Arabidopsis thaliana: one gene and its partner. The protein of the gene in region 1 interacts with the protein of each later gene in a pairwise test. Each region holds a gene or a part of one and is shown on either strand. Other genes may lie near its edges.

Evidence for each region.
Region 2: the proteins of AT1G19240 (region 1) and UNE16 interact in a two-hybrid assay, tested with the Arabidopsis thaliana proteins (one large-scale study listed by BioGRID).

The regions. Positions count from the first base shown.
Region 1 is NC_003070.9:6,648,645-6,652,495, reverse strand, and holds AT1G19240 (uncharacterized protein), read left to right. Parts: upstream 1-2,049; 5' UTR 2,050-2,111; coding exon 2,112-2,293; intron 2,294-2,801; coding exon 2,802-2,934; 3' UTR 2,935-3,253; downstream 3,254-3,851. Other genes in the region: FMO1 (flavin-dependent monooxygenase 1), read left to right, coding at 115-355, 655-833, 920-1,269, 1,474-1,840; AT1G19230 (Riboflavin synthase-like superfamily protein), read right to left, coding at 3,347-3,456, 3,657-3,735, 3,817-3,851.
Region 2 is NC_003075.7:7,935,950-7,940,758, reverse strand, and holds UNE16 (Homeodomain-like superfamily protein), read left to right. Parts: upstream 1-2,113; 5' UTR 2,114-2,261; coding exon 2,262-2,445; intron 2,446-2,719; coding exon 2,720-2,796; intron 2,797-2,904; coding exon 2,905-2,959; intron 2,960-3,049; coding exon 3,050-3,128; intron 3,129-3,206; coding exon 3,207-3,276; intron 3,277-3,472; coding exon 3,473-3,895; 3' UTR 3,896-4,153; downstream 4,154-4,809. Other genes in the region: AT4G13650 (Pentatricopeptide repeat (PPR) superfamily protein), read left to right, coding at 1-1,148; AT4G13630 (zein-binding protein (Protein of unknown function, DUF593)), read left to right, coding at 4,730-4,809. UniProt on the Arabidopsis thaliana protein: Transcriptional activator. Probable component of the central regulatory system controlling transcriptional responses to Pi starvation. Binds in a sequence-specific manner to phosphate starvation-regulated promoters.

The DNA of each region.
Region 1 (3,851 bases):
AATGTTTGTCTCGATTGTTTTTCGGTAACTTTGAAGCCTAAGCCGGATCTCAAACTGCCATATTACTGCATGCATCATTTATGAAATATTGTATATCAATGTTTTTGTGTGCAGTGGCATGCATTTGAGTTCGTGGTTGTGTGTACCGGGAAATACGGCGACGTTCCAAGAATACCAGCTTTTCCGGCAAAGAAAGGGCCGGAGATGTTTCAAGGAAAAGTAATGCATTCGATGGATTACTGCAAGTTAGAGAAAGAAGAAGCTTCTACTCTCCTCAGTGGCAAAAAAGTAGCCGTCATCGGCTTCAAGAAATCCGCCATTGATTTGGCTTTAGAGTCTGCTTTAGCTAATCAAGGTACATAGATATCTATGTCTATTTATATAAATTAGCTTCACTCTTAATAATTGGCTGATCAAGTCAAAATAAAGATAAAATATATATACTATATAGTGATAGCAATAATTGTCTTACTTACTAGTATATATTATTTCTTTTCGGTTGGACTTGGAACGTATATGGTTCTAGTTGGCAACAATTAAACAGTTACTCGCAAGTTAATTAAACAACATATTAAATATATATCCTAAGATGACCGATTTCGATCTTTATTTAATCTGATTCCCATAATTAAATATAATATTTAAATTTTGCAGGGGAAGGAGGAAAAGCTTGCACAATGGTGGTGAGAACAACTCATTGGGGGATCCCACATTATTGGGTGTGGGGCTTACCATTCTTCTTGTTCTACTCTTCGAGAGCTTCTCAGTTCCTCCATGATAGGCCTAACCAAAGCTTCCTTAGAACTCTCTTTTGCCTCCTCTTCTCTCTTCTGGTTAGTCATCTTATTACCTTTTTCACTTCTCTATATGCAAAAATCTTGAGAATTTTATAAGTTTCTTAACATATATGTGACAACAGCGTGCCGTAGTTTCCAAGTTCATCGAATCATATGTTTTATGGAAGCTACCTCTTGAGAAATATGGTCTAAAACCAAACCATTCTTTCGAGGAAGACTATGCTTCTTGTCAAATGGCGATCATACCGGAGAATTTCTTTGAGGAAGCGGATAAAGGGATGATCCGGTTTAAGAAATCATCAAAATGGTGGTTTTATGAAGAAGGGATTGTGTTTGAAGATGGGACGACATTAGAAGCTGATGTTGTGATACTTGCTACTGGTTATGATGGCAAGAAGAAGCTCAAAGCTATTGTTCCTGAACCTTTCCGAACTTGGCTTGAGTTTCCAAGCGGTGTCATGCCTTTATACAGGTACATACACATAAAAATCGTCTTTAGATTAATTGAAATTATGTGAAAATGCATTAGTTGCACACTTAAAAAGACGATCATGCTATAATATATAGTTCTATGACTATAAACATATTCAGTGGTACAAGTGGAAGCCTATATATTCTTTTATTAGTATACTCATGAAATTTGGACCGTTGCTTATACAAACTAAATCATTTACAGGGGAACAATCCATCCATTGATACCAAACATGGGTTTCGTAGGATACGTCCAAAGCAGCTCGAACTTACACACATCAGAGCTACGTTCAATGTGGCTAAGCCGGCTAGTGGATGAGAAATTCAGATTACCAAGCAAAGAGAAGATGTTGGATCAATTCTTAAAAGAAATGGAAGTGACGAGAAACTCAAGCAGATTCTACAAACGTCATTGCATTTCCACGTTCAGCATCCAACATGCTGATGATATGTGCAACGACATGGGACTCAATCCTTGGCGTAAATCCAACTTCCTCCTTGAAGCTTTTAGTCCTTATGGTTCTCAAGATTACCGACTCGGTCAAGAAGAAAAAGAAGATATGACTGCTTAAACTAAATTGAATATATATTACAAAATGAAATTGTTACGAATTGTTGTGTGATGGATGTATAATTAATGAATAAATAAATGTATGTGTAAAGTACATGATATTTTATATAATAATATTGTATTATTGTATGACCTTGGTCAAGGATTATTTTCAACTAGTAATTATGAAATTCCAATTTTGTCCTTTTGGTCAACGAGAAGTCAATTTAGCAATCGCTTCCTTCATGACTGGAATCATCATTGAACCCTAAACCCTAATTGATCGGCCAGAAATGGAGGGTTTGGAGAAGTTTTACAGCAAGATGGTGAAAGAAGCGAAATCGGCAGCTTCTTCTTCGTCGTCTTCTCTATCTGATTTTGCGGATAATCTGATGCAAGACAAACGAGCCGCCGCCGGCAACTTGACTACTACATACGACGCAGGATCCGGCACTCTGGTAACCAGACCTCCCAGGTAAGCTGCTTCTATTCAATATTTGTTCGAAAAGAGATCATTTTGCCAGTAAAGCTAAGAACTTTTAAGAATTTTGGGTGAGTGAGTGAGGGCATGTCTCCAATTTTTCAGATTCTCTCTAATTATGGGAAGGATGATAATAATAATCACTATTTCTGTGGATGGATTATGAATTGGTCTGCCTGCTTGAGAGAAATTTTAAAAAGATGGAACAAAAATGAAAAAGAGGGCAGATTTTGTGTTATAGCTCAAAACCTAGAGACCATGATGATTTCCCAGTTCCACATCACACAGAGCTTGTAAATTTGTAATGGCTTGTTCAAATGATCTAAGATCTTAGATACCCGAGGAACAAAACTGTGCAGGTCGATTATAGACTATCTAGTAGGAGCTTTGGGTTGTTTCTGATTGATTCGACTAATATGTAATGGCTTTACGTGTTTTGTGTACTATTAGTTCTAATTTAAGAAAATTATCTGACCTATCTTGGGACTGTGTTTGGTGGCAGCGGAGTTTCGGTCTGGACGTGTTCAAAGTTGTGCGCTGTTTTCTTTGTCGCTGGAGTGTTTGTGGGTTATACACTTAAGAGACGGGTTCGACGCTGGGCTTCTAAATTACTGAGAAGAATAAAGGATGATTAACTCCAACCTCGTCTTCTACTGCAAGTTTTGGTACACTTAGCACAAAGGCATTACTCTATTCTTATCCTTGAATGTGTTTTAGTACCAATATACTGTGCTGAGGCACCTTATCAATGAAAATTTGTTGTTTGCTTCTCTGCCTTTGTGACTAGTAGCTTGTGGTAATGGAAAGAGAGATTGAATCATCTTGGGAAAGACACGTATATTATTTCGTATAGTAACTTAGATTTGTTATTTTCATGCCTTTAGGCGGGGTCTATACAAACAGGCAAGACAATGTTTCCTTTTTTAACATAGTGTATATAATCTACTTTGCTAAGTGACTGTGAAGTTAGTGTGAAAAAAAATAATGGCGGGCTGGATTTGAATCTCACTTTAGGGAAAGTGATAGAAGCTGGCTTGTAACATTGAATTAGAAATGCTCCTTATGGAACTCGAACCGTGTGGTTGTTTTTTGACTCATGTCTTGTGCTTGCTTCTTCAACTCCTTTGCCACGGTTTGTATGCCGCAGTAAAACACTCCTGCACAATTATATAAATTGTTTTCACATATGCTTCGTAATACCTGGCCTAAATATTAGCAGACATGTTCATGTGTTTGCATGTGTCATAATTCCTATTGCAAGTTTTCTTTCTTTTCCAATGGTATTAATTCGTTAGTCCTAGAAGAGAGATTTATAAGATGTCTTGATGGTAAGCAGCTGATTGTATAGAATAATTACCGACTGTCGAATTTGGATGCTTTCTTGCTATGCTACTGAAGACTTCCTTCCAGTTGGGCCTTGCAAAATGTGTTCTCACCTGTTTGAATGATGTTATTTTGTCAGTTATAGGTAATATTGGCAAATAGTTTCTGGTTATATGCCCTGCATCAATTCTTACCCGTGTTCCGGATAGAATATCAACTCCATGTTTGG
Region 2 (4,809 bases), on another chromosome or scaffold:
TGAACAGAGAAGGAATTGACAATAATAATTTCACGTTTGGGTCTGCTGTGAAAGCTGCTTCTGAGACAGCTAACATGAAACAAGGGAAGCAGGTTCATGCTGTGATCACCAAAACCGGATACGATTCAGAAACCGAAGTTTGCAATGCTTTAATCTCTATGTATGCCAAGTGTGGGAGCATTTCTGATGCAGAGAAGCAGTTCCTTGAAGTCTCCACGAAAAATGAAGTTTCGTGGAATGCGATAATTAATGCTTATTCTAAACATGGGTTTGGTTCTGAAGCACTAGATTCTTTTGACCAGATGATACATTCTAATGTAAGGCCTAATCATGTGACGCTTGTGGGAGTTCTATCAGCATGTAGCCACATAGGACTAGTGGACAAGGGGATTGCATACTTTGAATCCATGAATTCAGAATATGGATTATCTCCTAAACCGGAACACTATGTGTGTGTAGTGGATATGCTAACTCGAGCTGGTCTTTTGAGCCGTGCGAAAGAGTTCATTCAGGAAATGCCTATTAAGCCAGATGCCTTGGTCTGGAGAACACTTTTGAGTGCTTGTGTAGTGCACAAGAACATGGAAATAGGAGAATTTGCAGCGCATCATCTCCTAGAGTTAGAACCTGAAGACTCAGCAACATATGTTCTTCTGTCAAATCTGTATGCGGTGTCCAAGAAATGGGATGCTAGGGATCTTACAAGACAAAAGATGAAAGAAAAGGGTGTGAAGAAAGAACCGGGACAAAGTTGGATTGAAGTTAAAAACTCAATTCACTCTTTCTATGTTGGTGACCAGAATCACCCGTTAGCAGATGAGATACATGAATACTTCCAAGATCTTACCAAACGAGCATCTGAAATCGGGTATGTGCAAGACTGTTTCAGCCTATTGAATGAACTGCAGCACGAGCAAAAAGATCCAATAATTTTCATCCACAGCGAGAAATTAGCAATTTCATTTGGACTCCTTAGCTTGCCTGCAACAGTGCCTATAAATGTAATGAAGAACCTACGTGTTTGCAACGATTGCCATGCTTGGATAAAGTTTGTATCTAAGGTATCAAATCGAGAAATCATAGTGAGGGATGCATATAGGTTTCATCATTTTGAAGGAGGTGCTTGCTCTTGTAAAGATTACTGGTAAGAGCCAAAGCCTGGTAGCTCACTCGCCTCTTTTGGGAAGGTTAAGTCTGTGTTCCAAAGTTCGAGCTCTGGTTCTCGCTCAAAGAAGGAGATCATGGACCAAACCTTACGGGTAAGCTGAATTCTCAGCAATGATATGATACTAGACGATATACTTGAGCAAAGAGTATTATCCTGAAGGAAAGAATAGTCACATGACTGTTCTTGAGGAAAAGTTGGAGTTGATGCAGGAGTTGATCATGAGCAAAGGAGACCATCGATGACTTAACAAAACGAACCACTCCTTTGTTTCTACTACCATTGCTAAGTAACTATCACTATCTTTCATACCCCATCCTTTTTTAGGGGCTTATATATGTGTACATATTACATATATACGTGCATCTATGGCTTTAAAATTGATGAATTGTAGATTAAGAGAAAGTGTCTCAAAATAAAGATTCTATGTTGCCAAGAAACAGAGTCTCTCTTTATGCATATGAATGATTGATGTGCTTCTGATTTCTTAATGTTTTATGTGGCTGAATTTGGAAACTGCTATTACATAAACAAATTTTGTCAATAGTAATATAAAAATTAAAAAACTAAAGCTAAAGAATACTTTTTTTCTCTTGAATTATATAAAAGAAAAATAATTGGAAAAATGTCTAGTAGGTTTAAAGGATTTGATATTTAAAAAAAAATTGAGGACCCTATTTTTTTCTTTTTTCATTTGGTTTATTTTAGCAGTTAGCACCATCTTAAGATAGAGAACTTGAAGTTTTATTCTGCTATTGAAAAACGAAAATAATAACTAAAAGAAATTTTATCTTACTACTTTTTCAAAACATATATGTTATTTGGAATTTCAATGCAAAGAGTACAAATAACCAAAACATAAATTCTGCTCTCTCTTTTTTTTTTTTTGAAAATATCTAAATAAATTCAATAATGCACAAATATAAACACAAAATACTATCCGAGTGTTGTCTTGTCCAATCTATCAACTCGTTTCTTCGCTGTCTTAGAAATCCACAATATCTTTCTTCACACTTTCTTTCACTTTCCCGGGAAAACAGCCGAGAAAATAAAAGAAACGAAGAAAAGTTTGTTCCTTTGTGGGGATCAAAGAAGAATGTACTCGGCGATTCGGTCTTCGCTTCCTCTAGATGGCAGCTTGGGAGACTACTCTGACGGAACCAATCTTCCCATCGACGCTTGTCTGGTCCTAACCACTGACCCCAAGCCTCGCCTTCGTTGGACCTCTGAGCTCCATGAAAGATTCGTTGACGCCGTCACTCAGCTCGGCGGACCCGACAGTAAGTGTCCCTTCTTAGAAATTTATGGATCTTAGAATGAAATGTGTTTTTTTTTTTAATCTGTTGTTCTTCAGTTAGTACGAAGAATTTGACAACGAGTTAGGTCTAATTTCTTTCAGATTTGGAAGTCAATCATCCTGAAATAGAATGGATTTCTTGGGTTTATGTCACTTAGAACAATTTAGGAATTACTGTGGCATTCTTTAGGTTTTTTTTATTGGCCTTGAGATTTGTTTACAAGATTAGTTTTTTTGTGTGTTTGGTTTGATGTCAGAAGCAACGCCTAAAACTATAATGAGAACAATGGGAGTGAAGGGTCTCACTCTTTACCATCTCAAATCTCATCTTCAGGTTTTGATGCTACTACCTTCAATATCAAATTATGCTTCTTTGGCTACTTATAACAAACAAAGTTCATTGCTTTTTGACTGTGTTGTTCTCTGGTTTTTTGCTCGGTAGAAATTCCGCTTGGGGAGGCAATCTTGTAAAGAATCAATTGACAACTCTAAGGATGGTATTCAGTTATATCTTTAGCTAAGAATCCATTTATATCTTTATGGATTCAGTTGTGCATTTATATCTTTGTGAACTTATATCTCTGTAGTTTCTTGTGTTGCGGAGAGTCAGGACACTGGTTCATCTTCAACATCATCCTTAAGATTGGCTGCTCAAGAACAGAACGAGTATGGTTTCAAGTGTTCTCTTTATTCCAAGTGTTATATTCACTGTCTATAACACTCATTGTTTTTGTCTTGAGCCAGGAGTTACCAGGTCACTGAAGCTTTGCGTGCCCAGATGGAAGTCCAAAGAAGACTACACGAGCAACTAGAGGTTAGTTTCTTCTTCGAATTCACCAAATACCAGAGAGACTTTGGTTAATGAGAGACTATATAGAAACCTCCATTGAATTTCCTTAAAGCTTATCAGAACGTTACTACTTAGGAAATCTTTTCATGAAAGTTAGAACCATAGAAACCGCATATACTAATGTTTGAGCCCTGGTTCCACATTTAATAAGATCCATTAGTATACGCAGGTGCAAAGGCGACTCCAGTTAAGGATCGAGGCACAAGGGAAGTACCTGCAATCAATTCTAGAGAAAGCTTGCAAGGCTATAGAGGAGCAAGCTGTTGCATTTGCTGGGTTAGAGGCAGCTAGAGAAGAGCTTTCAGAGCTAGCCATAAAGGCCTCCATCACCAATGGGTGCCAAGGAACAACAAGCACCTTCGACACAACCAAAATGATGATTCCATCCTTATCCGAGCTTGCAGTAGCAATAGAGCACAAGAACAACTGTTCAGCAGAGAGCTCTCTGACTTCCAGCACTGTAGGAAGTCCGGTATCAGCTGCGTTGATGAAGAAGAGACAACGAGGAGTGTTTGGAAATGGAGATAGTGTGGTTGTTGGTCATGATGCTGGATGGGTTATGCCTAGTAGTAGCATTGGATGAAGTTAGCAAGAGAGAGAGAGAGAGCGAGACCAGATTTTAGCTTATTTAATTTTGCTATGTTGTATTTAACTCTAAACTCTGTCATCAAACTTGTCTTAGCGTCTATGTATATATTTGTTGAATCTGTAGCCTCTCTTTTAGTTTGTGTATTTGCTTCAACTTTTTCTAAGCTTGCCTTCTTTTTTCTTTTTTGGACAAACCTAAATATAGAATTTATGTAATTGTATAACATAAAAAATACTCATTAAATACTCATAACTTATCTCCATGCTATAGATTGGATCTTGTCTACAAATTAGTTGGCACACATTTGCGTAAATGCACAAATTTGATTACGTGTGTAAAATAAAATGTCAAAGAAAAAAAAAAAAATCTCAAGAGGAAGAGAGTGATGGGGTCGGCGATAAAATGACGGCGTATCTGCTCACTCGTACGGTGATTTGCAACTGAAGTTTTGAAAACTAAAAAAGAAGTTTTGATTTTTGAACAAAGAGAGAAAATAAAAACGGCAGAGGAAGAGCCGTTTACGTTGTGCTTGCTTCCCCAAGATTTCTCAACTTCTTCTTCTTCGTGTGAGTTTCAATTCTCTAATTTACTAAAAATTAATCAAATCGCAAGGAGTTTCTCTGTGTTAACGATTGATTCATCGTTGAGTTTTCTCTGTGGTAACGATTGTGTTTATATATAATTTGATTGATTGATTGATTAACTTACCAAATTAGTCTTAGATTTGGATATATGCTTGTAATTGATTCAAATAACAATTTGATTCTCTAACCAATTTCTCAAACTTTGAGTAATTTCTGTAGATTATTGTATACTTGCAGGTATAAAATGCGTTGCCAGGAGGTAAAATCATGGACATTTAAAGGTTTAGTGGCTGCGTTTATCGATCTTTCCGTTGCGTTTTCGCT